7 linked regions of the Macaca fascicularis genome follow. The protein of the gene in region 5 interacts with the protein of the main gene of each other region in a pairwise test. Links are inferred from orthologs where the notes say so. Each region holds a gene or a part of one and is shown on either strand. Other genes may lie near its edges.

What was found.
Region 1: the proteins of BANP (region 5) and FOXR1 interact in binary tests that used the Homo sapiens proteins (3 or more experiments, as listed by UniProt). The two-hybrid records come from large-scale screens. The link is inferred for Macaca fascicularis from reciprocal best matches to the Homo sapiens genes BANP and FOXR1.
Region 2: the proteins of BANP (region 5) and NRIP2 interact in binary tests that used the Homo sapiens proteins (3 or more experiments, as listed by UniProt). The two-hybrid records come from large-scale screens. The link is inferred for Macaca fascicularis from reciprocal best matches to the Homo sapiens genes BANP and NRIP2.
Region 3: the proteins of BANP (region 5) and C1H1orf94 interact in binary tests that used the Homo sapiens proteins (3 or more experiments, as listed by UniProt). The two-hybrid records come from large-scale screens. The link is inferred for Macaca fascicularis from reciprocal best matches to the Homo sapiens genes BANP and C1orf94.
Region 4: the proteins of BANP (region 5) and TNXB interact in binary tests that used the Homo sapiens proteins (3 or more experiments, as listed by UniProt). The two-hybrid records come from large-scale screens. The link is inferred for Macaca fascicularis from reciprocal best matches to the Homo sapiens genes BANP and TNXB.
Region 6: the proteins of BANP (region 5) and SP2 interact in binary tests that used the Homo sapiens proteins (3 or more experiments, as listed by UniProt). The two-hybrid records come from large-scale screens. The link is inferred for Macaca fascicularis from reciprocal best matches to the Homo sapiens genes BANP and SP2.
Region 7: the proteins of BANP (region 5) and PPIF interact in binary tests that used the Homo sapiens proteins (3 or more experiments, as listed by UniProt). The two-hybrid records come from large-scale screens. The link is inferred for Macaca fascicularis from reciprocal best matches to the Homo sapiens genes BANP and PPIF.

Annotation. Positions count from the first base shown.
Region 1 is NC_088388.1:117,848,550-117,853,009, reverse strand, and holds the start of FOXR1 (forkhead box protein R1), read right to left. Parts: upstream 2,945-4,460; 5' UTR 2,930-2,944; coding exon 2,848-2,929; intron 1,439-2,847; exon of another isoform or gene 1,316-1,438; coding exon of another isoform or gene 1,255-1,315; intron 927-1,254; coding exon 852-926; intron 749-851; coding exon 501-748; intron 264-500; coding exon 37-263; intron 1-36. UniProt on the Homo sapiens protein: Transcription factor which acts as both an activator and a repressor.
Region 2 is NC_088385.1:3,698,569-3,702,362, forward strand, and holds part of NRIP2 (nuclear receptor-interacting protein 2), read right to left. Parts: intron 1,326-3,794; coding exon 1,243-1,325; intron 961-1,242; coding exon 839-960; intron 589-838; coding exon 536-588; intron 1-535. UniProt on the Homo sapiens protein: Down-regulates transcriptional activation by nuclear receptors such as NR1F2.
Region 3 is NC_088375.1:200,805,146-200,809,459, reverse strand, and holds the start of C1H1orf94 (uncharacterized protein C1orf94 homolog), read left to right. Parts: upstream 1-1,257; 5' UTR 1,258-1,741; coding exon 1,742-2,061; intron 2,062-4,314.
Region 4 is NC_088378.1:139,646,431-139,650,224, reverse strand, and holds part of TNXB (tenascin-X), read right to left. Parts: intron 3,715-3,794; coding exon 3,400-3,714; intron 3,287-3,399; coding exon 2,969-3,286; intron 2,556-2,968; coding exon 2,232-2,555; intron 1-2,231. UniProt on the Homo sapiens protein: Appears to mediate interactions between cells and the extracellular matrix. Substrate-adhesion molecule that appears to inhibit cell migration. Accelerates collagen fibril formation. May play a role in supporting the growth of epithelial tumors.
Region 5 is NC_088394.1:83,878,775-83,882,568, forward strand, and holds part of BANP (protein BANP), read left to right. Parts: intron 1-56; exon of another isoform or gene 57-114; intron 115-391; coding exon 392-548; intron 549-3,669; exon of another isoform or gene 3,670-3,785; coding exon of another isoform or gene 3,786-3,794. UniProt on the Homo sapiens protein: Controls V(D)J recombination during T-cell development by repressing T-cell receptor (TCR) beta enhancer function. Binds to scaffold/matrix attachment region beta (S/MARbeta), an ATC-rich DNA sequence located upstream of the TCR beta enhancer.
Region 6 is NC_088390.1:58,807,182-58,810,550, reverse strand, and holds the end of SP2 (transcription factor Sp2), read left to right. Parts: intron 1-1,450; coding exon 1,451-1,551; 3' UTR 1,552-2,685; downstream 2,686-3,369. UniProt on the Homo sapiens protein: Binds to GC box promoters elements and selectively activates mRNA synthesis from genes that contain functional recognition sites.
Region 7 is NC_088383.1:67,129,335-67,133,578, forward strand, and holds the start of PPIF (peptidyl-prolyl cis-trans isomerase F, mitochondrial), read right to left. Parts: upstream 2,980-4,244; 5' UTR 2,897-2,979; coding exon 2,702-2,896; intron 1,259-2,701; coding exon 1,228-1,258; intron 678-1,227; coding exon 589-677; intron 1-588. UniProt on the Homo sapiens protein: PPIase that catalyzes the cis-trans isomerization of proline imidic peptide bonds in oligopeptides and may therefore assist protein folding. Involved in regulation of the mitochondrial permeability transition pore (mPTP).

The sequences.
Region 1 (4,460 bases), on a different chromosome or scaffold from region 5:
CCACTTCCCCCTCCTCACAGGGCCCCCGGCACATACCGAGTGAAACTGTAGATCTGTTGCACGTTGAGGCCACAGGGGGGACTGTTTCTTAATGCCAGGGCAATTAGGTGGAAGTAATTGAGAGGGGGCCGGGACCAGAGCCTCCCCGCCTGGCTGCTGGCTTGCCGAAGCCTCCGACTCTGGAGGGGGGCCCTTTTGTGAGGGGATGGGAGAGCCACAGAGGAGCTGTCTTCCTGGTCCTCAGCCTCCTCCTCTTCTGTGAGCTAGAGGAGCACAGAGTAGGAACTGGTCCTGACTCCTCAGCCTCTACTCCAGGGTGCAGTGGCAGGAAGGGGGGGTGGTCTAAGGCCACCATCTGGGCTTCTCCCCAACCCAAGCATGAAGGTAATTTCTGAACCCATTCGCCTTTTGCTATGGCTAAGAGAGCAGAATTGTGATGGCTCTTCCCCATGCCCCTCACCTACTGCCCAAGTCCGGCTCCCACCCCCAGAGATCCATACCTCCCAGGTGCTGGGGGAAAAGGCAAAGCGCTTCCGAGGGGGAGACCACTTGCTGGAGGACCGGGACAGTGATTCCACCCCTGTGGCTTCTGAGCAGCTGGCATCTTCCTCCTTCTGTGGTGGCTGAGACAAGGGAAGTGTGCTTGTCAGATCCTCCCTCTTCCTAGGTCCTGGGACCTCCAGTTTTCCAGGGGGATACACGATGTTGGGGTTTACCCACATCCAGAGGTTGGGTTCATAATCTGGACCTGTGCAGAACAAAAGGAGATTGTGTGCCGCAGCCCACTGGCTTTGGGTGCCCTTGGTCTCCAGCCCAGGTCACAGAAACAGGTCAGAGAACTCAATACTTACCATCCTTATCAGGGTTGGGTTTTTTCTCTAGGGGTAATTTTGGTGGCTTAACAATTCGGAGTTTATACCTGGCAACTGGCAAAAAGAAAGAGAGAGTCAAAACATCCTAGGATATCCCTTTGTGACCCTAGGATCCTAGGCATTAAGGCTTCTCTGGGAGAAGGTATTGTGGGCCTTGCCTGGGGAGTTAACATCACATTGTACTTCTACTGGTTTTCCCTTTACCTCTCTGACCTTCTCATTCCCCTCTGCATTCTTTTCTTCTCACTCTACATATACTGTCCCTGAATTGATCTCCTGCATGCCCGTGGCTTCAGTTAACATCTATAAAAAAAATGTAGAGCTCTCAAATCTTCACCTCTAGCCTAGCATTCTGTGCTAGCCCTTAAGGAGAACTACTTACTGGATATCTTTACTTGGGTAGCCCACAGGCACTTCAGACGGCTTCTAAAACTGAATTCCATCTTGTTGCTCTTCCTCCTGTATTCTTGTTTTTTTCTGAGACAGGGTCTTGCTGTGTTGCATAGGCTGGAGTGCAGTGGTGTGCTCAAGAGATTCTCCCACCTCAGCCTCCCAAGTAGCTGGAACTACAGGTGCATGCCACTACGCCCCATTAATTTTTGCAATTTTTTTTTTTTTCCAGATGGAGTCTTGCTCTGTCACCCAGGCTGGAGTGTAGTGGCGTGATCTTGGCTCACTGCAACCTCCGCCTCCCGGATTCAAGTGATTCTCCTGCCTCAGCCTCCCGAGTAGCTGAGATTACAGGTGCCTGCCACCACGCCCGGGTAATTTTTGTATTTTTAGTAGAGCTTTCACCATATTGGCCACGCTGGTGTCTAACTCCTGACCTCATGATCCACCAGCCTCAGCCTCTCAAAGTGCTGGGATTATAGGTATGAGCCACCGCGCCCGGCCTAATTTTTGTATTTTTTGTATAGATGAGGGTCTCACTATGTTGTTGCCTGGGCTGGTCTTGAACCCCTGGGCTCAAGCAATCCTCCTGTTCAGGCTCCCAAAATGGGATTACAGGCGTGAACCACCATGCCTAGCCTTCCTGTATTCTTTGTCTCAGCAAGTGGCACCACCATTAACTGATTGTTCAGGACAAAAACTATTTTTGCCCCCTCACTGTCACTATGAGTGTCATTATATTACAGATGAATCTAGGCTTTTGTTTGGGAAATGACATACTTATCGGAGAGCTTAATTAGAGAGGATGCCTATTAGGTTGCTAATATTCAACATAGTACTCAAAAAAGGAAAAAGTAGCAAAAGATATAAACATAGGGTTTTTTTTTTTGAGACGCGGTCTTGCTTGGTTGCCCATGCTGGAGTGCAGTGGTGTGACATTGGCTCACTGCAATCTCCACCTCCCAGCTCAAGCAATCCTCCCATCTCAGCTCTGAAATAAATAACTTTTTTTTTTTTTTTTTTTTGAGGCGGAGTCTCGCTCTGTAGCCCGGGCTGGAGTGCAGTGGCCGGATCTCAGCTCACTGCAAGCTCCGCCTCCCAGGTTTACGCCATTCTCCTGCCTCAGCCTCCCGAGTAGCTGGGACTACAGGCGCCCGCCACCTCGCCCGGCTAGTTTTTTGTATTTTTTAGTAGAGACGGGGTTTCACGGTGTTCGCCAGGATGGTCTCGATCTCCTGACCTCGTGATCCACCCGTCTCGGCCTTCCAAAGTGCTGGGATTACAGGCTTGAGCCACCGCGCCCGGCCTGAAATAAATAACTTAAAAGACTTGAACAAAGACTTATAATACATACTATTAAGATGCCAGTTACCCTAAAATGAATCTATAAGTTTTATGCACATATTATAGTACAAAAATTAAAGTTTGGCCAGGTGCGGTGGCTGATACCTGTAATCCCAGCACTTTGGGAGGCCAAGGCAGGTGGATTACTTGAGGTCAGGAGTTCGAGATCAGCCTGGCCAACATGGCGAAACCCTATCTCTACTAAAAGTACAAAAAATTAGCCGGGTGTGGTGGCGCTTACCTGTAGTTCCAGCTACTTGGGAGGCTGAGGCAGGAGAATCACTTGAACCTGGGAAGCAGAGTTTGTAGTGAGCTGAGATCATGCCACTGTACTCCAGCCTAGGTGACAGAGCAAGACTCTCTTAAAAAACGTTCAAACATAGTAAAAATCACCATAAGCAAAAAAAAAAAAAAAAAAAAAAAAAAAAAAAAAGCAAACTTCAACCCAAATTTCTTTCTTTTTTTTTTTTTTTTTTTGAGACAGAGTCTTGCTCTGTCACCCAGGCTGGAGTGCAGTGGCGCCATCTCAGCTCACTGAAAGCTCTACCTCCCGGGTTCACACCATTCTCCTGCCTCAGCCTCCCGAGTAGCTGGGACTACAGGCACCTGCCACCACGCCCAGCTAATTTTTTTTGTATTTTTGTAGAGACGAGGTTTCACCATGTTAGCCAGTATGGTCTCGATCTCCTGACCTTGTGATCCGCCCGCCTTGGCCTCCCATAGTGCTGGGATTACAGGCATGAGCCACCGCGCCCGGCCTCAACCCAAATTTCTCAGTTCTCTAATATATACAGAGCTCCTACAAATCAGTATGTAAAAGGTCAACACAAACTTACAAATGGGCAAATGATATGAATCAGCATTCACAAGGAGGGGATAACTGAATGGCTAACAAGATGATCAGTATTATTAATAAGAAAAACACTGTAAGATAATGAGATAATCAAATTGACTAGAGTTATAAAGATAATACCAAGTGTTGAGAAACATGCAAAGAAATAGAATCTCTTATTATACTGCAGTTCTGAGTATCAACTGGAGCAGCCCTTGTTAAGAGCAATGAGGCAGGACTACAATTTACCTTACTGTTTGCTCCTGGATGTATATTTTCAAGTTAATACAGGAACTTATATACTAATCAATCTCCATTGTTACTATCATCTACTGACCTCCTGTTTTAGCTCCTGACTTACTGTCACTCTCCAACACTACTCCTGCCTTAAATCTTGGTTGCTGGCCAGGTGTGGTGGCTCATGCCTATAATCCCAGCACTTTAAGAGACTTAGGCAGGCGGATTGCTTGGGCCCAGGAGTTTGAAATCAGCCTGGGCAACATGGTGAAACCCCATCTCTACAAAAAATACAAAGATAATAGTCTAGCCGAGTGTGGTGGTGTGAGCCTGTAGTCCCAGCTACTCAGCAGGCTAAAGTGGGAGGATGGCTCGAGAGGGAAAGGCGAGGTTGCAGTGAGCCAAGCTCACGATACTGCACTCCAGCTTGGGCAACAAAGCCAGACCTTGTTTTGAAAACAAAAACATGATCTTTGCTGTTTATTGAACTCTTCTCCAGCGAGTCTGACTTCTACTCTACTGTAGACACTCCCTCAGTCATAACCTAAACTAACAACTGCAACCTCTCCATAACCTCATTTATGCACCACATAAAAATGCACCACCTTGTGTCTTTCTGGCTAACTCCCTCAACCCCAACTATGATCCCACTGAGATCACCAGTCCACTGAATTATGGTTTTGGCTCACTCGTTTGGCAGAGGTGGATTTAGTCAGGGTTGTGGTTTGGCCAACAAAGTGCTCCAAAGCCACAGACGATCCAGGGAACCTGCGTAATATTTGACC
Region 2 (3,794 bases), on a different chromosome or scaffold from region 5:
ATCCCCATTTCCCTTGACTCCTGTTGGAGGGGGTGACCCAGTTCTCTTGACTTTTCCCTGGGTGGTGAGTAAGGAACCTCTAAGGAAGCAAAGGGACAATTGCCAATCTCTAAGTCACTCTCATCAGAACCTGGTCCAGGCTTCCACACGTCTGCCTTCTTTTTTTTTTTTTTTTTTTTTTTTTTTGAGACGGAGTCTCGCTCTGCCGCCCAGGCTGGAGTGCAATGGCCGGACCTCAGCTCACCGCAAGCTCCGCCTCCCGGGTTCACGCCATTCTCCTGCCTCAGCCTCCCGAGTAGCTGGGACCACAGGCACCCGCCACCTCGCCCAGCTAGCTTTTTTTTTGTATTTTTAAGTAGAGACGGGGTTTCACCGTGTTAGCCAGGATGGTCTCGATCTCCTGACCTCGTGATCCGCCCGTCTCGGCCTCCCAAAGTGCTGGGACCACAGGCTTGAGCCACCGCGCCCGGCCACCTCTGCCTTCTATTACTTTTTCCCGGTGCTTTGGATCAGGCCCTGAGTGTGGGTGCCTTACCTTGAGAGAAAGCAGAGTCTGCAGGCCCAGGCAGAATTCAGGACTCTCAACATCTGCAGGAACCATTTGAAAACAGAAGAGGCTGAGGGTTCCCAGCGGTCACTGCTCCCCTCCTCTCAGCCCTTGCTCCTTCTCTGCCCACCCCATCCCCAGATCCGAGGGCACTGGCATGGAGATGAGGGATGGTCAGAACATCTCTGGGGACTCCTTGTGCTGCAGGGACTGAAAGTCTCTGCCTTTGCCCCACCCTGAAGAGAAAGGTGAGAGGCGAGCACCAGGGCTGTTGCAGAAGGGGGGACTTACCCACCACCTGTGCCGAGCACACCACGGTCTCCTGCCCCAGCTGTAGCTCCAACTGCTCCACCTGGGTTGGGGGCCCAGGGGCCAGGTCCCCAGCTGAGGCTTTTAGGACCTTCTTCTCTAACCTGTGGTTGGGAAGCAAAGGTTATAGCTACCACAGCCCCCAGTGGGCTTCACCCCATTAATCAGCAGACGTCCCGCTCTACTATGGGTTCACCTCCAACCCCTGACCTCACGTGGGGTCTAAATCCTTGCCTTCTCTGCCAGAGTCTTCTAGCCACTCTTTTGTTAAATAACAGCTTTATTGAGATAAAATATGCAACTGTCGTCACTATCTAATCTGAGAATATTTTCATCAGCCCAAAAAGAAACCCTGTCCCCCATTTGCTTTTTTGGGCCACTCTTACCCCAGGCGGCTGAGACATCCAGCAGAGATCCGATTGTATTGGGTGCCTGTGTCCAAGGCCACTCTAAGCAGCAGGTCCTGGCACTGAGAAAGAGGGATTGTGCCGAATCAGTGAGTCCCTAGGAGAATGGGTTGGGATTGGGTCCTTCAGTTTCCCAGCCCACTGATGACTCCCTTTTAGAAATGAGTAGAGAAAACAAACTGTCTTTAAAACAGACTTTTATCGGGGCCAGGTGCAGTGGCTCATGCCTGTAATGCCAGCACTTCGGAAGGCTGAGGTGGGTGGATCACCTGAGGTTGGGAGTTCAAGACCAGCCTGACCAACATGGTGAAACCCTGTCTCTACTAAAAATACAAAATTAGCTGGGCGTGGTAGCATAGGCCTGTAATCCCAGCTACTTGGGAGGCTGAGGCAGGAGAATCGCTTGAACCCAGGAGACAGAGGTTGTGGTGAGTCAAGATCGCACCATTACACGCCAGCCTAGGCAACAAGAGCAAAACTCCATCTCAAAACAAACCCAAAAAAACAAAAACTGGTTTTTATGAGACTCACACAATAGGGGCAGAACTCCCGGATAAATCAAAAAAGGAAGTGGGCTAGGTGAGGTGGCTCATGCCTGTAGTTCTAGCACTTTGGAGGCAAGAGGATCACTTGAAGCCAGGAGTCCAAGACCAGCCTGGGCAACACAGCAAGACCCTGTCTCTACAAAAAATAAAACGGGGGAAAAAAAAAGTGGTTATATGTGATATGTTCATAAGTTTGGGGAAGATCTGCCAGAAATGGAGAAATGGTGATCTATCTAGAGGAATCCTTGGGAGTTTGATGGCCTCCTGGTTCAAAAACTCCAGGTTAGGAATAGAGGAAGGATGAGAAGACTGGAATCCCCTGTTAGGAAACTCAGCTATGGGTAACCAAGAAGTTTGCCATTGGAAACAAAGGAGGACAAGTTCACCTACTTTGGGACATAGACATTTTGATATAAACTTGGATATACACACAGGTCATTTTCTCATTTCAAACATTCGTTGAGTATCTGCTATAAGATATGTTACAGGAAGGTACATCAGTGAATGCTATTCTTTAGGAGTCTAAAGGAAGTAAAATCTAACTCTACTATATGGCAGAAAGGTTTTTTTTTGTTTTTTTTTTTTTTGAGACGGAGTCTCGCTGTGTCACCCAGGCTGGAGTGCAGTGGCGCGATCTCGGCTCACTGCAAGCTCCGCCTCCCGGGTTCATGCCATTCTCCTGCCTCAGCCTCCCGAGAAGCTGGGACTACAGGCACCCGCCACCAAGCCCGGCTAATTTTTTTTGTATTTTTAGTAGAGACGGGGTTTCACTGGGTTAGCCAGGATGGTCTCCATCTCCTCACCTCGTGATCCGCCCACCTCGGCCTCCCACAGTGCCGGGATTACAGGCGTGAGCCACCACCTGTAGAAAGCTTTAAGGACTATTAAGGACTATAAAAGGATGTGAATGTCCTGGCCCCATGGCCCACACCTATGTATAATCCAAGTACTTTGGGAGGCCAGGGTGGAAGGATCGCTTGAGGCCAGGAGTTCAAGACCAGCCTGACCAATGTGGTGAAACCCCCATCTCTACTAAAAATACAAAAAAAAAAAAATAGCCGGGTGTGGTGGCACACACCTGTGATTTCAGCTACTCAGAAGACTGAGGTGGGAGGATCGCTTGAGTCCAGGAGGTTGAGGCTGCAGTGAGCTCTGATCATGCCACTGCACTCCGGCCTGGGTGACAGAGTAAGACCCTGTATCTTAAAAAAATAAATAAAAGGACTGGAAAAGTCAGGGAGCACAGTGGCTCACACCTGTAATCCCAGCACTTTGGGAGGCCAAGGTGGATGGATCTCCTGAGGTCAGGAGTTCGAGACCAGCCTGACCAACCTGGAGAAACCCCATCTCTACTAAAAATGCAAAAGTAGCCAGGCACGGTGGCATTTGCCTGTAATCCCAGCTACTCAGGAGGCTGAGGCAGAAGAATTGCTTGAACCCGGGAGGTGGAGGTTGCGGTAAGCCGAGATCACACTTGCAGTCCAGCCTGGGCAACAAGAGTGAAACTCCGTCTTCAAAAAAAAAAAAAGGGCCGGGCGCAGTGGCTCACACCTATAATCCCAGCACCAGGAATTTGAGACCAGCCTGACCAACATGGTGAAACCCCGTCTCTACTAAAAATACAAAAATTAGCCGAGTGTGGCAGTGCGGGCCTATAATCCCAGCTACTTGGGAGGCTGGGGCAGGAGAATCGCTTGAACCTAGGAGGCAGAGGCTGCAGTGACCCGAGATCGCGCCACTGCACTCCAGCCTGGGTGACAGAGCGAGACTCCGTCTCAAAAAAAGAAAAAAATATTTAAAAAAAGGATGTGAGTAACATGCCTTAGAGGTTGGGAGGCAGGAAAGGCTGTTTCCTACTGGGGAAATCAGAAAAGGTTTCAAGGAGGAGGTAACACCTGATCTGGGCTTTAAGCTTGCAGAATGCGGACCCAGAATGATTGGAGAGCAAGAAGAGAGCAATCCAGGTAGAAGCAGCACAGAGCAAAG
Region 3 (4,314 bases), on a different chromosome or scaffold from region 5:
TCCATGAGAGCAGGGACCATGCCACTTTTGCCCACCCTTATGCTTCTTCAGTGCCCAGCAACTCATCGGGCACAAAGGAGGGGTTGCATCAGTACTGGGGGAATTATGAATGGGGATAGGAGAAGTTCAGAAAGTTCTTAGGGTCACACAGCGGGGAAGTGTCAGGATTCAACCCAGCCCTGCATTTATAGACTGCCATCTTCTTCTATTTGTGTCCATTCTTCTTTCTTCCTTCTCCACCCTCTTGCTCTTCCTTTCCAGGAGTATTATTAAAGAAACAACGCCCTGACTCTTGGGACCAGAAAGTCTCCCTCAGAGGAGGTACTGTGTCAGTGCCCAGTTGAATGAAGCCGCTTCAGTGAGGGTAGGGGCCTGTTGATCAGTAAACAGCTAACTTAGCCCTTCTCCCAGCACCTCGGACCTCCTACCCCTGCTCCTGCCCACCTACTGAAGCAGTCTCAGTGCTCAAGGGCTAGATCAGGCCTAGAGTGCTGGGGTCTGAATCTCAGCTCCCCTTTTCTTAGTGGGCCTTGGACACTATCATTTATGACTTTGAGATTCGCTTTCCTCCCATTTAGAACGATAATAAAAAGTGGTACTAATTTCACGAGCTTTGATAGGATTGAATGTGAGCCCAGCGCTTGGCACAGGGCAAGCGCCCCATAAAATGGCAGTTAGGATTAAACTCGAGGATGAGGGGGCCCCCCAGGCAGGAGCTGAGGTTTGTGTGGAGCGGTGAAGTGGGGCGGCGGCGCGTTTGGCTTTGACTTCTGATCCGCCGAAGCGCTCTGGGGTCCTTTGGGCCCCACCCCCACCCACCCCACCGGCGGGTCTTGGGCTCCGAACCCAGGGCGTCCCGCGCACCGAGCCGTTGCGTTTGAAACCCACAGAAAGAATTCCCCCGCTCGACGACTGCGAGGGTGTGGGAGCCATTGGCAGGGCAAATTGGTGGGAGCCGCCCGGCCCAGCCTGCCTTGCCGAGTCAGCGCGCTCTTGAGCTGCTGGGCCCTTCCCGGTGCCCATCCCGCAGCGCGGCGCGGCCAGGGCAGGGGTCTGCTGGGGGCCGGGACTGAGGGCTGTGGGCCCATCCACACACGCCTCGTCCCTTCTTTCCCGGGGCGGCAGAGCAGCAGCGGGAGACCAGGAGCAGGTGGGGTAGGGCGAGAGTAAAGCAAGAACTGGGCCGGCGGCGGGGACCGGGCCGTTGGCGCTCGCTCTGCGAGGGGCTCCCTGGGAACGCCCAGGCGAGCGTTTCCTGCGGGGCCCCGCCCCCCGGGTGCCTACCATGGTGTCAGGCCCGCACCCAGTTCTCCGCGTGTCCTAGCGGGCCAGCATGGGCTGAGCCCAGGCGCCGCAAGGTGTCACGGCGGCGTCGCAAGGGGGCAGTGCCAGGGACTGTGGGGAGAGCCAGCCCTCCCCCTCCAGCTGTTCCCAGATGTCATTCTGCCCGCCCAGGCGCCTGGTTCCTGAGCTCCGGGGCATTCCACTGTTCCTAAGCTACTGGTTTTTGTTGACTTTTAAATATTTTCTTCTGAGGGAGAGGGGGAGGGCGGCAAAAGTTAGGAAAGAGGAAATAAAAACAAATCAAAATAAGCCCTCCCCTCCCCAAAAGAAAACTGTCCTCCACCCACCCCTCCCACACAAATCGAAGGCCTCTGAACCTAACCACCTTGTGGGAGCGACAGCCAGACAGAACTGACCCACTTCTGCCAAGACCCATCCTCATCTCCCTTTCTGGTGAATGAGGAGTGGTGGTGGATGTCTTCTAGCCCTGGGTGGACAGAGGGGCTTCCAGAAAGAGCGGAGGAGGATGGCAAGTGGGAATGGGCTTCCTTCATCCTCGGCCCTGGTGGCCAAGCGCCCCTGCGCCCTGGGCCCATTCCCCAGATACATCTGGATCCACCAGGACACACCCCAAGACAGCCTAGACAAGACTTGCCATGAAATCTGGAAGAGAGTTCAAGGCCTGCCTGAAGCCTCACAGCCCTGGACCTCCATGGAGCAGCTGTCTGTCCCCGTGGCTGGAACTCTAAGAGGCAATGAGCTCAGCTTTCAAGAAGAGTGAGTACCCCCCTATTCCGTTGGCAGAAAGGGAGGAGGGAGGAGATGAAGTCTGACCTTCTAGGGGAATGTTCTGGCCCACCCTTGAGGCTGCTGAAACCCTAAAGGCTGTATATTGCCCCTTCCATGGTCCTTTGTCCAAGCGTTATAGAAGAGCTGACCAAGGTTCTGATGTTTCGTGGGTGAAGAGCCAGATTAGGGCTATATTCCAGGCTGCCTCTTCACTAGCCCACTAAGCAGACATCTCTCATCCTAAACGCATGTGAATCTGAGGTCCTTGAAAAACCACCCTAGCCAAGGCTAAGGGTTACATGGCTCGTGACTTTCCCCAGAAGCAACTAGAAGATCCTTCCCCTCTCCCACCTAAAGGCTAGGCATTCACATGGATGAGACTGATGGTTTTAAATCACATCTGGAATTCCCTAATACAGGGAGCAGCTGTCCCATTCAGCCTCCACAGAAGCTGCTGCAAGAGCACACATCAAAATATTTACTGGGAAGGCACTGACATATTCAGAGGACATAATAGAAAATTAAAGTGCGGGAAGATGGCTGTAAATAGCCCGTTTCCTGGATGGGAAATCCTGTGTCTGGGAAACACAGAGCTAAGTGTTTCTCCATCAGGGCAAAGTTGGGCAGATATTGTTGGGGATGGATATTCGAAAGGAAAGGAAGGAGCAGAGAGGAAAAAGGGACCTCATTAGGAAAAGAAGGTAAATCTGCTGTGGTTATTAATACCACTGTTGAGCACTTATTTCACATTTTGCATCTTCAAAGTGGACTGTAAACTTAATTAATGCTCCCAGAGTCCCTATGAGGCAGGTATTAGTGTCCCCATTTTACAGATGGATTAAGTGTTAATAATTAAGAGCTAATTAAAGACTAACCGATAATTAAGTGTTGCCTGCTCCAACACATGCTACAGCTCAGTTCAGAGATGCTCTGGAGTTGGGGAGCCATTCAGGCATTTATCAGCTGCCTCAGGTTTCAGGGATGCCAAAGCAAGAGCTAAGAAGAAATGCAAAGTGTAACGGACACCCACCTCTGCACTACCTGCTGTCCCTCTGTGGGCTCATTTACTTACTGCAGATGAAGGTGGAAGGTACTTTGGCTAGTCCTGCCTCCCTGCCCTGTGCTCAGCACGACATGGCTCAGATAGGAATGGCCTATCTACAGCCAAAACCCTGCTGTCAGGCCCTTCAGTGGCATTGAGCCCTTCTTCCCTGCTCATTGCCATCTGCTCCGGGACAGGGCCTTGGCAGGAGGGCTGTGCTCAGCTCTCAGTGGCCAAGGAGCTGATTGTCCACTTCGTGGACCAAGGGTCAGTAGCAATTTCCAGTAGATGGCACCCTCTTTGCCAGGTCACATGGAGTTAATGGAGACAGACTCTACTTCCAGTCTGCACTTGGCTGAAAATTGAACTGGTGCACCTTTGGCCAGCTGCTTAACTCCATTTGGCCTTTATTTCCTCATTTGCAAATTGAGGATGATATGCACTGCCTTGTCCACCTCAGAGTTGATAATGAGGATCCGATGTGATGGGAGACAGTGAAATGAAAGATGCATTATACAAATCAGGCTGCCCTTAACTTGTACTTCTTCAGGTTGGGATTTGTTGTTGTTGTTGTTGTTGTTGTTGTTGTTGGCGGCTTCAATCTGGGATTTCACACTATGCTCCATATACCTCAAGGTGCTTCAGGGGTACCGTGGAGTCAAGTGGGCTGGTTGCTGGGCCCCAAAATCCATTTCAGCCAGAGCTGTTTAGCTTTTATCAGTTTTACTTACTGGAGTTCTGAGAAGGGCTGAATTTGAAAAGTGTGTTTCTGCTATTGAGAAAAGAGATAGGAAACCACTGACTTAGATGAATAAACAATATCCTAATTGTCAACAAAATAGAACACAATGAGCTATTCTTAAAATAAAGGCAGTGTGCTGGTGGAGTCAGATAACTCTGGTTTCAGATTCCATTTCAGCCCCATGACATTTGAAGAATTTGTTACGGTTTAATTTATCTAAACTTTGGTTTCCTCATCTGCCAAATGGAGATTAATACTACACATTTTGTAGGGTTGTTGGAATGATTAAATGGGATATTTAAACATCTATGGTAATAATTCAGATTTGTAAAAATTCCCTGCAATTCAGATGTAATCATTTCTTTAAGCTCTACAATTATTGTATGAGGTAGGTACTCTTTTGAACTTTCCATCTCTTTTTACTTTTTATTATGCAGATTTTCAAACACGTAGAATA
Region 4 (3,794 bases), on a different chromosome or scaffold from region 5:
CTTCCTTTAAGTCTTTGTTCAAAAGCCACCTTCTTCTGGGCCTTCCTTGACTGCTCTACTTAACATTTCAGTTTTCTCAACTGCAATGTATCCTCCTTCTATAGACCTAATTTCAGCAACGAATTGGAAAACAATAGTTATGAGACACTCGGGAGACTGTAGCACTACCTGGATACATGATATCAAGGCATGATTGTTCATTTATCAAGGTATGCTAATTGTATTGTGGAATTTTATTATTTATTTATTTATTGACAAAGAGTCTCGCTCTGTCACCCAGGCCGGAGTGCAGTGGCACGATCTTGGCTCACTGCAACCTCCACCTCCTGGGTTCAAGCAATTTCTTGTGCCTCAACCCCCCCAAGTAGCTGGGACTATAGGCACATGCCACCACGCTCTCCTTTTTTTTTTTTTTTTCTTTTTTAGTAGAGATGGGGTTTCACCATGTTGGTCAGGCTGGTCTCAAACTCTTTACCTCAAGTGATCCACCTGCCTTGGCCACCCAAAGTGCTGGGATCAGGTGTGAACCACCTCACCTGGCTGTATTGTGGGTTTTTTAAAAATAATTTTTCAAAAAAGAGATATACCTTTAAATATTTAGTGATGAAAGGATAGGGTGTCTGTGGTTCGTTTTAAAATATTGCAGTAGTATAACCATACAATGCAATACTGTTTGGCAATAAAAAGCAATGTAGTGACTGAGAGCAGGTGGCTCATGCCTGTTATCCCAGCACTTTGTAAGGCCCAGGCAGGAGGATTCCTTGAAGCCAGGAGTTTGGTATCAGCCTGGGTAACACTGTGAGACCTCATCTCTACAAAATTTTTAAAAATTAGCTGAGTGTGGTGGCAAGCACCTGTGGTCCCAGCTACTTGGGGGGCTGAGATGGCTTGAGCCCAGGATTTTGGGGCTGCAGTGAGCTATGATCATGCCACTGCACTGTAGCCTTGGCAATAGAGTGAGAATTTGTCTAAAAAAAAATCAATCAATCAATCAATCAATAGCAATGTAGTAAATGTAGTACTTCTACATACTACATCGATGAACCTCAAAAACATCATGCTCAGTGAAAGAAGCCAGACACAAAACGATACATATTGTGTGATTCCATTTATACGAAATGTCCTGAAAAAGCAATCTACAGAGAAAAAATTAGATTGGTTATAAACTAGGGCTGAGATAGGAATGGATCTGGACCCAAGATTTCTTTTGGGGGTGATGGAAAAGTTCTAAAATTAGATTGTGGTGATGGCTGCACAAGTAGGTAAAGATACTAAAATCAGTAAGCCGTACACTTAAAACAAGTGTATTTTATGCCACATGAATTATATCTCAATGAAGGTGTTAATAAAGAAAACATTCAGGCCGGGTGTGGCGGCTCACGCCTGGAATCCCATCACTTTGGCTGAGGTGGGAGGATCACTTGAGCCCAGGAGTTCAAGACTGGCCTGGGCAACATGGCTAAACCCTGTCTCTACAAAAAACACAAAAAATTAGCTGGGCATGATGGAGTGCGCTTGTAGTCTCAGCTATTTGGGAGGCTGAAGTGGGAGGATCCCTTAAGCCCAGGAGGTTGAGGCTGCAGTGCAGTGAATTGTCATTGTGCCAGTAGACTCCAGCCTGGGTGACAGAGTGAGACCTTGTCAAAAGAAAGGAAGAAAGAAAGAAAGAAGGAGAGGGAGAGAGGGAGAGAGAGGGAGAGGGAGAGGGGGAGAGAGAGAGAGAGAGAGAGAGAGAAAGAAAGAAAAACATTCTAGTGATTCTAGTGGAGGACATGAGTGGGGCAGAGATGAGTCAGACTGGCCAGAAGTTGATATTTGATTGAAGGAGGGTGGCAGGGTGATGGGTACCTGAGGTCTTTGTACTATTCTTTCTATTTACACATTTGAAATTTTATTTAACAAATACTTTTAATTTAATTAATTTGTATTTCAAAAATGTGTTCCAATCCCACAAAAAGAGTTCTCTATAGAGCTCCAAGGAAAAGCAGAGTCACAAACCAGCCAGTGAATCACCTCCTGAGAGGCCTCAGTCCCCGGGAGCCTCTCCCACATGGCTGGCACTTCTCCTGGATTTGCTCTCTTAGTCCCCAGATCACACCCATCCTGAGGCTTTAGCGAACAGGGTGCATTATAGGTTTGAGGTCTTGGGATCCTGGGTCCCTAGTGGAAGAGATGCTGGAGGCTGCACTTTCCTAAGACCCAACCCAGAGGGCTCTGCAGCGCACACTCACCCGTGACGCCCACAGCGGACACCGGGCCCACACGCCGCCCCTCGTGGAGGCCGTACAGGTGCATCTTGTACTTGTTCCCGGGCTCCAGGCCCCCTACAGTGACCTCGCTCTCCTCGCCCCCGACACGCACCACCTGGGGCCGCCCGTCCCTGTCCTTGTACTGCACGGTGAAGGAGTCGAAGCGGCCCTGGGGGACGGTCCAGGAGAGGCTCAGCGAGTCAGGGGAGGATCCTATCACTGTCAGCTCCCCCAGGAGCGGCTCCTCGGGGGGCTCCGGGGCCTCCGTGCTGGGTTCTGTGGGGCTGGGGGTCTCTTCCTCTGCAGCTGAGAAAAAAAGGACACAGAGAGAGTGAGGCAGGGTCCCTGGGGGATGTCCTTGGGACTTGGGGAAAAGGAGGGAGAACCCAAGGTTATGACTGGGGGACCTGAGGTCATTTCAGAGAAGCCCATTCTTGGGGCTGGGTGGTCCTGATCAGCTAACACATGACAAGTTCCAGGGTCAACTGTGGGGGACCTGGGACAGCCACCAGCACAGCAAAACTCCCGACGGCCCCTCCCTGCTCAGGAGGAGCCAGGGGTCAACCTCACAGGAAGGCCCAAGGGGAGCCCCAGCCCCAGCCACAAGCAGGTCTGTGGTGCTGACCAGACCCCTGTCACATTCCCCACCAGTCATCACCAAAGAACAAGAGGGTGGCCCTCCCACAGCACCCACCCTGTGGCTCCCACTGTTCACTCACCCGTCACCCCGATTGCAGACACAGGGCCCACGCGCTGGCCACCATGGAAGCCGTACAGGTTCATCTTGTATTTGTGGTCTGGCTCCAGGCCCGAGATGGTGACCCCGTCCTCATGCCCTGGCACCCGCACAGCCTTGGGCCGCCCATCTCCGTTCCTGTACTGGACCAGGAAGTGGTCAAACTGGCCCTCAGGAACTGTCCAGGACAGGCTGAGGGAGTCGGGGGTGGCGTCTGTCACGGTCAGCTCCCCCAGGTGAGGCGTGATGGGGGGCTCGGGGGTTGCGGTGGGAGGTTCCGAAGGCTCCTCCTCCTCCGGGACTGGACAGAGACATGGAAAGAGAGGACTGAGGTGGGCAGGGTATCTGCGGGACTCTGCTCTCCTCTGGACTCTCCCACCATCTGAAAGGAGGCACAGTGGGCAGAGTTCTCACCTGTCAGGGCCTCGACATGGACAGGACCCACATGCTTCCCATCGCGGAAACCATACAGGGTCACCAGGTATCTGTGGTCGGATTCCAGGCCAGAGAGGGTGATGTCATTCCGGTCACCTCCTGTACGGACCGTTTGGAGTTGCCCTTCTCTATCTGTGTGCTGGATTTCGAAGGAGTCAAATTCTCCCTCAGTCACCATCCAGGAGAGATGCAGGGTGTGCGGCGTGGCCTCCTCCACTGTCAGCTCCCCGAGGCGGGGCTCAGGCGCTGGAGGGGTCGGGGCCGTGGTCTCAGTTTCCGTGTCTTCCCTGCGGGCTGGTTCACAGAGACAGGTAGAGACAGATGGCCGGTCTGTTGCTGTACCCAGACTCTCAGGAGAAGTGAGGGAGGAGAGG
Region 5 (3,794 bases):
GCAGGGCTGAGGCCCCACGGGAGCAGGAAGTGACAGGACGTTTGCTGTAGGCAGTCAGGCCCCACTGGAGACTTGAGCTGAGGGAGAGGATGTTTCCAAGCCAGTGTTGGGAAGGTGGCTTTGGAAGGGCATGAGGAATGCAGTGGAAATAGAGACGCCCTGGGTGACTTGTCCAGTGGTTAAGGAATGAGGCAGCGGGTGGCGTTTTCAACTATTTGTTAATTTTCAAAGAAACTTACCTTTTGGTGGTTTGAGGCAAGAAGAACCCTGCATGTAAAAATCCACAGACATTCTCGGCCTCTTGCATACATGTGCACGGCTCGTGGTTTTCATCATTTCACATGTGGCGATGGTTAATGTCCTCTCCTCCTCCTTTGCTTCTGTTTGGTAGGTGACCAAAAGCCAGCCCCTCTTCGAGTGGAACTCTTGCGTGTTGACCGGCCACTCTCCTGTGCTCTGGATGATGTCTGAACACGACCTGGCGGATGTGGTTCAGATTGCAGTGGAAGACCTGAGCCCTGACCACCCAGGTACAGAGCTGTGGGACAGTAGGTGAAATATTATTCTCATTACTCTTGAAAAACCAAAAGCTGCTGCAGTTATTTTCTTTTCTTTAAGCAGAAGTGAAAGTAATGCATGCTGTATATGAAAAAGTTTGAATCCTAGAGATGTGAACATTGTCGGCCCCTCCCTTCCCTCGCCCCTGCAGCCTCAGCCCCATGTTCCTTCTGGAGGGGGCCCCTGTCACACTTTGTCTCGAGGGCTGTCTCTGCTCCTGCTGCTCGGGTGTGTGTGTGTGTTCTACACCCTCTCCCCTGCCCCATCCCTGTGTGTGGCGTCGTGGATCCTTACCATGTTGTGTGTGTAATCCCCTGTGTGTGGCGTCGTGGATCCTTACCATGTTGTGTGTGTAATCCCCTGTGTGTGGCGTCGTGGATCCTTACCATGTTGTGTGTGTAATCCCCTGTGTGTGGCGTCGTGGATCCTTACCATGTTGTGTGTGTAATCCCCTGTGTGTGGCGTCGTGGATCCTTACCATGATATATGTGTAATCCCCTGTGTGTGGCGTCATGGATCCTTACCATGATATATGTGTAATCCCCTGTGTGTGGCGTCGTGGATCCTTACCATGTTGTGTGTGAAAAGTCAGCTCTGTTAGCAACTCCGCAGAATTCATTCACAGGTGCCCCCTCCACAGTTGACTTTTTCCTTCAGGGGCTCCTGGCATAGTCTGTCTGATTTTTCCTTTATACACAACCCTATAGGGAAGATCCTTGCATATGTATCTTGGCAAATAGAGAAGTTCCCAGAAGGAAAATTGCTATGTGTGTTTAAAATTTTGTTAAGACACTGAGAGGTTCTCTAGAAATGTTTTACTAATTCTTCCACTCACAGTGCTTGAGAACACGTTTTTTTCTACACCTTTGCTAAGGCTGGTAATTTTAAAAAATGATGTTAAAGGCACATGTCTACTTTGAAATAATAAACTTGTTTAAAGGAGACCCTTGAGAAATGAAACCTTAAATTTCAGGAACTTCACCTCTTCATCTGTGAAAACACTTTGTCCACACTTACTGTTTTAAAGAGATTTCTTCTTCGTCGTCGTCTTCTTTTTTTTTTCTGTAAAGTGGCATGTGTTTTATTGTTCTGTTAAGTTTGAAGTGACAAGCCCACCACAGCTAAGTCACTGAATGTTTCGGTTGCCTGGTTATTCTTTCAGGAATGTTCGAATTGAAAGGCTGACAATTTATTCCTCCAGAAGAGAGAATTTTCAGAACTCTCATAAGGAAGTCTGATGTCCATTCCTATGATCTGTTTGCTCTGTTAGTCGAGAAAACTACATGTGGAGACTAGTTGTAGTCTGGAAGGGGAGGGCAATAGAAATAGTTTTGGGGTGAGGTGAGCAGTCCCAGGGGAACATGAAGGCAGCATTTCAGGAGTGCTGTTGGTTAGTTTTCCACACGATCACTGCACATTATTTTACAAATCCCTGTTTCTAGTTTAGAAGGCAAATGACAGTTTCTTTAGAAAACATACACTGTAATCTTGTAAAAGAAAACTGTTCCAGTTACATCATTTCCAGTGATTTCAGAACCATTAAAGTTCTGACAGCCTACTTCCCCAATAAATCTCTCTTTATAGACCGTGGCCCAAAAAAAGCTTAGAGAAATAATTTCGAATCTTGATTTTGTTCCATCTCTGTTCCTTAAATGCCTGAGAACTATGATTTCTTGAGTATTTGTTAAAAGCCTACTGTGCGCAGAGCTCCTTGGCCTGCCCAGTACAAAGCCTGCAGTCTGGACCCAGGAGAAGGTGTGCACAGCTGCAGGTACCTTGGTGTGTCACGCATGTTTGCATTCATTGTGGGTTTAAAGTACTTTCCTCATCTCAAAAGTATACATCTAATAAAGTTTAACAGGATAGTCAAGAAAGTAGAAGAAATAAAAATTTTCTACAATCCTACTGGTTGTAGCAGCTTTTAAATTGTTGATGTGTATGTCTTTCCAATTTCTCCTTATTTTTATTTAAAAGAAAGACTTCTAGGATCATCTGACTTGATGTGTACCGACCATGGCTTGTGCTAACTCTACCTGTCTGAATGCAAAAATTGTGACTTGCATAAGGCCTGTCATTGCAGTTGATTGATTGTGATGTCTTTATTTATTTATTTGTTTATTTAAGACAGAGTTTTGCTCTGTCGCCAGGCTGGAGTACAGTGGCATGATCTTGACTCACTGCAACCTCTGTCTCCTGGATTCAAGCGATTCTCCTGCCTCAGCCTCCCGAGTAGCTGGGATTACAGGCGCCTGCCACCATGACCGGCTAATTTTTCTATTTTCAGTAGAGACAGGGGTTTCACCATGTTGGCCAGGCTGGTCTCGAACTCCTGACCTCAGGTGATCTACTCACCTCGGCCTCCCAAAGTGCTGGGATTATAGGCGTGAGCCACTGCACCCAGCTTGATGGTGATATTTTAAAAATGAACAAGGAGTTATTTTAATTCTAAAAGTAATGCATACAAAATTATAAAAAGCAACACATACAAAAAGCAGCAAAGTACAAAGAAGAAAATAAATGTCACTTGCTGTTCCATTACCTGTGGAGTCATTACTGGAGTTACTGCATGCCTGTCTGCTGCCCTTATGACGAAACTAGCTCTGTGACCCCAGAGAAGTCCCGTAACCTTTCTGGACTTGTTTTCTTCTCAACAAACTAAAAAGTTAGAGTAATAAGTGCGAGGGTCTCTCTCTGTTCTTCCAGGCCTGGTGTGATGACCAGTTTCCAGTGAGAGTAAAGAGCCTTTGACTGAGGTCCTGGGAACCTTTGACTAACCACAGGCACTTGCGGGCATGGAGTTTGAAAAGTTTCGTTACGTGAGAATTCATCTGCAAAGGCTTAGGTGGTGATGATTGATGCGCTCCCTGCCTCTGAGGAGTCATGAGGCCGAAGGCAGGGCCATGTGCTGCTTGTGAGCCGACAGTAGTCCTTGGCTTTGGATAATTTCCCACTGGGTAGATCAGATTTGACTGCTTTTGCCTAGGACCTGTGAGAGGTTCCTGTTAGAACTGTGGGACAATTCTGCATCTTTAAGTTTCAGAGTTTTGAGCGGAATCATCTAGTGGGTACAGGCTTAAAGGCACGGACCTTCTTTTTTGTTTTCCTGTTAAGATCTTCTTCGGAATGTCAATCTATATAATTCCGCGGGGAGTTGCTTTGGTGGAGGTGGAGGCAGGGACCAGAGAGGCCTGTGCACTTGGCTTTCCTCTAGCACCTGGAGAATCTGAATGCCAGCC
Region 6 (3,369 bases), on a different chromosome or scaffold from region 5:
GGTGCAGCCAGGTTCAAACCCAGGCCCTGCCACAGCTTTTTTTCTTTCTTTTTCTTTTTTTGAGACAGGGTCTCACTCTGTCACCCAGGCTGGAGTGCAGTAGCACAATCTTGGCTCACTGCAGTCTTGAACTCCTGGGCTCAAGCAATTCTCCCACCTCAACCTCCTGAGTAGCTAGGACTACAGGCGTGCACCACCACACCTGGCTAATTTTAAAATTTTTGTAGAGACAGGGTCTTACTGTGTTGCCCAGGCTGGTCTCAAACTTCTGGGCTCAGCTGATCCTCCCTCTTCTACCTCCCAAAGTGAGATATCACAGTTATAGTTTTAGGTACTAGCAAATCAATGCAAAACTATTAAAAATATTGATCCAGGCTGGGCACAGTGGCTCACACCTGTAATCCTAGCACTTTGGGAGGCTGAGGCAGGTGATCACTTGAGCCCAGGAGTTTGATCAGGCAGGGCAATATAGCGAGAGCCCATCTCTTAAAAAAAAAAAGTTCATACATCTGCCACCTGAAATTGTCCTGGGTATCCACAGTGGTCCACACACACACTTTGGCAAACACTGCTATAGTGAATGCCTGCAGTGAGCAGACACCTGTCCTGGGGCTAGAGGGCTGAGGGAAGCTTGACCCAGAGCTCCAGCTCCCGGCCAGTGTGGTGAGACAGGTCCTACTCCTCAAAAGGCAGAGGAGCCAGCACTCCACAGGAAAGCAGTTGGGGTCAACATGGTTCCAACTAAGTGAGTGCTCAGGGCTGGCAGGGTCAGGGTGGAGCGGGATTTTCCTGCGATGGGGAGGATGCTGATCCAGGTTCAAAGTCAGAGAGACAGAAGAAGAAAGCAGGCGGACAACCCTGCACGGAAGACTCTTAGGTGCAGGGGCTCCAGGGACAAGGAATGGGAACAAAATAGACTGCAGAGGTCAAATGGGGGCAGAGAGAAATGAGAATTGATAAAAAGATTTAGATGAGTAGGGGGCCAAGTGTGGTGGCTCATGCCTATAATCCCAGCACTTTGGGAGGCCAAGGTGGGCGGATCACTTGAGGTCAGGAGTTCAGGACCAGCCTGGCCAACATGGTGAAACCCTCTCTCTACAAAAATACAAAAATTAGCTGGGCGCAGTGGCGGGCATCTGTAGTCCCAACTACTTGAGAGGCTGAGGCAGGAGAATTGCTTGACCTGGGAGGTGGAGGTTGCAGTGAACGGAGATTGTACCACTGCATGCCAGCCTGGCCAACAGAGTGAGACTCCATCTCAAAAAAAAAAAAAAAAAAAGATTTAGATGAGTAGGCACCAGGGAGCAAATGTGAGAGCAGGAGGTGGGCAGAATGTGGTGACAAGGCTACGTCAGCTTGTTTGGGTGCCCCTCACACACACCCCACCTTTTTGGGCAGAGACAGGGTCTGTGCCCAGGGTATGTGGGTGATGGGCATCTCCTCTTCCCAGGGGACAAACGCTTCGAGTGCGCCCAGTGTCAGAAGCGCTTCATGAGGAGTGACCACCTCACCAAGCATTACAAGACCCACCTGGTCACGAAGAACTTGTAAGGCCAACTGCGGCGGGAGGCCCTGAAGATGCAATCCCCCGCCTGTGTCCTCCCTGGGCCCCTGGTGGAAAGGAGCCCTGTGGCTGCCCTGGGCCTGCCCTCAGCCCCACTCCTGTTCTGCAACTGTCCCCACAGGAAGGGGCTCTGCTCCCTGTCCTCCTTCTGAAGCCCCTTGGCTCCGCCTTGGCCCTTCCCCTCACCACGAGCTCCCGGCCTGCCCAGACTGTGGACACTGGCCGTGCCCAATGAGACGTTCTAAACCAGGACGCGTGGGAACCCTTATTTCCAAAGGAAAAACATGCATTTCACTCCGTCGAGGAGCAAAGTGAGCCCCCACCCCCCACCCCAATCCCCGCTCCCAACACTGCCGGAGTCGCATCGTGCCATGCCCACTCTCCTGCACCTCCCTGGCCCTGCCGGCCACTGTGGACGCCCTGGGGCTTGGCACCCACCTCTGGAGAGACTCGGGGCCACCTCCACTCCATGTGCCCAGCCCCGCCACAACCTCTCCTCCAGCACATTCCAGCTCTGTTTAAAAAGTAAAGACACCCACCGACTCCTCCTGATCCCCCTCTTTTTCTATGGAGAACGTTGCCTTATACTCTCTACTTCAGATGATGAACACTGTGTACTGTGTGTGCTTTAAAGAAGTTTTATTTAATTGCTCCCTTCTTCCTTTCCTTGTTATTCACCTCCCCAATGCCTGCTTTCAGTTGAGGGTTGGGGGCAATGATGAGCATATGAATTTTTTTCTCACTCTAGCAATTCCCTTTTCTAAATGACACAGCATTTAAACTCAAATCTGGATTCAGATAACAGCACCTGCCCATCCTGCACCTCTTCCCTCTCCCTTCACCTCACCCCTGCCCGGCCCAAGCTCTACTTGTGTACAGTGTATATTGTATAATAGACAATTGTGTCTACTACATGTTTAAAAACATATTGCTTGTTATTTTTGAGGCTTTTAAATTAAACAAAAATCCAACTTTATTTTTAGTTGTAACTGCTTGAGGTATGTTTTATGAATTAAGTGACAGATTTGTTATCCTTTATTAACGTACTTTGTTGGTCAGCGCTGGGCTGACAAAAATTTTTTCTTGCTAATAAATTTAGTTGCCTGAGGCAAAATCTTCAACTTGGCAGTTCGGCTTCCTTTGTCTTTTCCCTTGGAGAGCTCGGAGAGGAGACTCCAGAGGAGGGAGCTGTGGTCTCTCAGAGCGATCCACACTGGGATCAAGGTAGGACCTTACCCTCCTGACCCTCAGCAAACCCAGGCCACGTGCCCAAAAGGGGCCGCAGCCACATGTACCTCACGACACTGGCACGAGCCCCCAGAGCACCTCCAAGGGCCAGGGCCCAGTGCAGGTGTTCCTGCCTTTTTCTTCTGTAAGCCAGTTTTGCCTGTACACAAATCAGATACAAAGAGCCAAGTCACAGCAGTGACCTCAGCCAGCAAGTTAACTCCTCCACCCACCTCCCCAACCCCTGGAGGAAGGCATTGGCCTCAGAGCCCATTAGCAAGAGGCTTAGAGAGGAGAGCCAGTGGGGCCTTGGCTCAGTCCCCTCCAAAAGGCTACAGTCTGGCAAAAATGCATTTCCCCAAGGGCCAAGGTCCCTTCCCAAAGTGAAGGGCCAGGCAGGTTCCTGGGAGGGCCTGGCAGCTAGAGGGGCCTGGAGCCCAGCTCTACCCGAGAGAGGACTCTGGCCACAGATTCTGGTTCCTTCTATATCCCTGCCCAGTAACCCAGAGAGGACGACAAGTTGATTGTGCCTTTTGGTTTTAGCAGATGCTGCAAATCTGAAATTTTGGTGGGGATCT
Region 7 (4,244 bases), on a different chromosome or scaffold from region 5:
CCTGACCCCCGGGAAGCTCCTGCTGCAACACCTACCCCCAAACCTCTGACACAGCAATACCAATGCTTGCGAAAACCGAGCGTGGCACATGACTGAAAAACATTCATTTCACCGAGAATAATGCCTTTCTCTGGGAAGGGAAGCTCCAAGTCCTGGCATGTGTGTTCCTGCCCTGGACCCGTCTTCCTCCTCCACCTCCGCCGCTTCTCCCTCTCCCCCTCTTATCTCCCACACCAGTGCTCAGGGGCATGCAGGGGACAAGGTCAGAGACCACTGGAATATGCTGGTTCTTCAAAGCCTTCAGGGCCACCCCCAGCACATCCATCCCCCAACCCAGCTCTGCCTTGATAGACTCCACCTCCCAGTCCCCTGGGCAGGGCCTGCCACTGGCCTGGAGTGGCAATGGGTTGGGGCTGGACTTCCATGTGCAGTGAAGCCTGGATACAGGGCTAATGCAGGGGGGGCAGCCTGACCAACAGAGCAACTGCAGCTGCCCTGCTCAACACCTTCCTCATGCCAGGCATCTTCACACACCCACAAGGCAGCTCCTGCTCTCATCCCCCCTTACAGAAAAGGAAACCACGTTACCTGGCACATGAAGGAAGGGATCACCCTGTGGAAGGTGGAGCCTTTGTAGCCAAAGCCCTTCTCACCAGTGCACAGGGCTCTGAAGTTCTCTGAGGGTCAAAGGGAGACACAGGTTAACACGGCCAGGCCCCAATTCCCGGGTCATACCCATTCCAGCCAAAATCCCTGCTACATCCCCAGCAGTGAACAGGGGGATAAAGACCTTGGCACCTCTTGGGTCTGCTCTGCCCAACTCGCTATGTAACTGGACAAGTCACTCCCCTTCCCTGACCTCAGTACCTGAGCACTGTGACAAGAGTACAGGCTCATGGCTGTGCTGGCACCAGCAGGGCAGCGACTCAAGGGCTATGTGCGCACCACCCTGCCTCATTGGGGACCAAGAGTGGGGAAGTCTCTGGGAAATTTACGTGTGCCTTCCACCGGCTCTGAGGCTCCCAGCTACTATGAGAGAGGAGGGCAGAGCCAACGTTGAGGCCCAGAGAGGGATGGGAAGAGCTGCCCCAGGGCACCCAGTGGCTGAGCCACACATGGAGCTCCCATTCGTCAGGGGTCTCTGAGCCCCGATTCTTCTCACTACGCCACCCACCTTGCCCTGCCTGGCCCCCTTCCCATCTCACAAGGCCCCACGCCCTGTCTTACCAGCTGTCTTTGGGACGACATCTGCCTTCAGCTGTTGGGGGAGAAGAGGGACAAAAGTGGGTGGTCATTGGAGAGACAGGTGAAGGTGGATGTCTCTCAGCACCCACCCACCCACCCCCACAGCGGCCAAGGAGGCTGAGGAAGAAGCACGTGGACATTCCATTCCCATTATTGCCAACCCGCGTAGGTGGCAGCTCTATCATTTCTGGGAGCCATTTCCTGAACCCAAGGCTGGAGGAGGTGGCCTTGGTTTCCTAATCTGTCAGAAGAGATGACAATGCTATCTTGGCCTACTTCTGTGGACACAGCTGGCACTGCTCCCACAGCTGGGCCCAAAGCATCAGAAACTCGGGCAAGAAAGTGGGTCTAAGGTAGGAGCCAGACCAGCTCTTTGATTTGGGGATGGTAAACTGAGGCCCAGGGAAAGGCATGCTCCCAGGGAGGGGCAGTGCTCCTACAGCTGGGCCCAAAGCATCAGAAATTCAGGGACAAGAGAGTGGGTCTAAGGCTCCTCCATTCGGGGTTGGGAAACTGAGGCCCAGGGAGAGGCATGAGGGTGTGGGGAGGGAAGGCTGAAGCCCCATCCCAGCCAGCCTCTAGCCTCGAAGCTGCAAGACCCACCCTTGAACCAAATGGAAGCAGGAAGGGTGTCCCTATTTTCCAGAAGAAACTGAGACTGAAAAAGAAATACCAAGGGCTCCCTGAGAAAAGGGCCAGTCAACACGAACTGACCTCTGCTGTCAATGTGAGGCCGGGCTGAAGGCTCCACTAGGGCTTTCCCTCTAAAGTTACCCTGATGACTGTTTCTTACTTTGCTTTATAAAAGACCCAAAGAGTTTGGGCAGGTGCTGAGTGTGACTCCCAAGGACGGTGGCAGGGCAAGGTTCCGGGCACACTGCCTCTGAATGTGTCCCAGCTCGCAGGAGGGGCATTCTGGGGTCCACCAGGTGGCCGGGCCCGAGGCCTACTGGGCCCGCACTGCTGCTGGAAACCACTTCTCGCTCCATTTCCCAGCACCCCGAGTGTGAGCCCGACCGCGGGGGCGGGGTCGGGGCCAGGGCGCGCTCCGCGTTGTGCAAGGGCCGCCACGTGAGCACCCGCCGGGCCACAACGCTCACCCCAAGCCCCCCGACACCCACCTCAGAGCTCCGGATCTAGGCTCAGCCCCAGAAAACTCCTGGAGCCCCTCTCTCGTCCCGGGGCCGGCCCAGGGGTGCTGGGCCCTCCCTCTCTGCGATCTGACCTTGAGCTTTCTCCTCCACACGTGCCCTCCCTCCCGTCTCCCCGGCTCCAGTGCTCCGAGGCCGGAAGAAGCCATTCCGACGCCCATTCTCAAAATGGGGAAACTGAGGCCCAGAGCCCGGCAGGGGGAGGCCCAAGGTCACCCAGCGCGCCCGGCACCGCGCCGCCCAAAGCCCAGGGCTCTCCCCGGGCCCGTGTCTCGCGCCCAGGCCGGCCCTGCGAGCGGTCTCACCTCCAGCACCACGCGGCCGAGCGGCTGCCCGTCGGCGCCCACGTCCAGGTACACGAGCGGGTTCCCGGAGGAGGAGGAAGAAGACGGGTCGCCGGCCCCCTTGCTGCAGGCGCGGGCCGCGGGGAGTCGCAGCGGCACGGAGCGCGGCACGGAGAGCAGGCCGAGCCACCGGGGGCCGCAGCGCAGCGCCAGCATCGCGGGCGAGGGTCGGGCGGGAAACGGGCAGGGAGAACACACAACTCTGAAAAAGAGGTCGCGCGCGCCCAGAAGGCCGAGTCCCGCGCAGCCGCGCGCAGCAGCCTTTATTGGCCTGGCCAGGTTTGCGGCCCCGCCCTTGTCCCGCCTCCTCCGGGCCTGTCCGTGGGCGACCCCTGCCGGCCGCAGCGCGCAGCGCAGCCAGCCGGTGGGGCCGCCGGGCGTGAAATGCTTTGGAACACTCCCGCCTCCAGGCCCAGAGACCCGGAGAACAGACACCACCCGGCAAAAGGATGCTGATTCCATGTTTATTAAGGTACCAGCAGACTTTTCTTAAAAAGGAAAAACTGCTAAAACGTAATTAACTAAAAAATATGAGCATCTACACGTTGCAATTTGAATATAATAACAAAAGTCTACCTTTGAGCCCTTTATAGGTAAGGCTCAGGGCCCTTTATAGGTAAGGCTCAGGCCAAATAAGCTTCCCTGCTGCCCTAGGTCCTGCAGTCCGAGAGGGTTAGAGAAAGGTGAGATGAGAGGCGGGATTAGTGAGCCAGAGGCGAAAGAGGGAGGAGATAAGCTGAGACACCTCCCATGATGCCCCCTAGCCTGCTTGTCCCGGCCTGGTCCTGTCTCTAGTTATTTCTAGGGACCAGACCTGCTTCCAGCAAGACTGAAAACGCAGCCTGGGCTCATCATGCTCCTTCCAGGCCCCCAGCCCTCCCCAGGACTGGTTCTGATCCCTCCTCCTAGGACCCACACTGACAGCCCCCGTACCCGGCCAGCCAGGGCAGCCACCTGCCCCCTCCCATCAGCATGCACCCCGGGAGGGGACTTAGTGGGGAGACCCACAGCAGGAGCATTTAAGCCCCATGTGCTGAGAGTGGGCTTCCCAGCAGCAAGAGCCACCCTCACTGCAAGGTGGTGGGAGGCCTGCAATAAATGGATGCCAAGCAGGGACTTGAGAGGGCATCTGGCCCAACACTAGTACTGTCCCCAGGGGAAGCTGAGGCCTGGACACGGGAAGGCACTGGCTAGGGCTGGGGAGCCCTAGAGTCCTGCTGCCAGCTTGCGCCAGTGCTCCAGGCCTCTCTGGGCCTCAGTTTCCCATCTGGAGGGTAAGGGTGTGATCATGCTCCTCATTCTGCTTTTGTCTCAGGTCTGTTCTTAGGATAAAATGAACTAGAGAGAGATGGATTTGTCAACTAAGTACTGTGCCTGTGGGCATCTGTGATGGATACAGTCTGGACTGTCTTTCTCAGGGTTTGGGATTCAGAGAGCAGTGGTCTCAGAGCCCTGAGTGGCCAGAGAAAGGGGTGGGGCTGAGCCTTGGAGGCAGGTGGGCTTG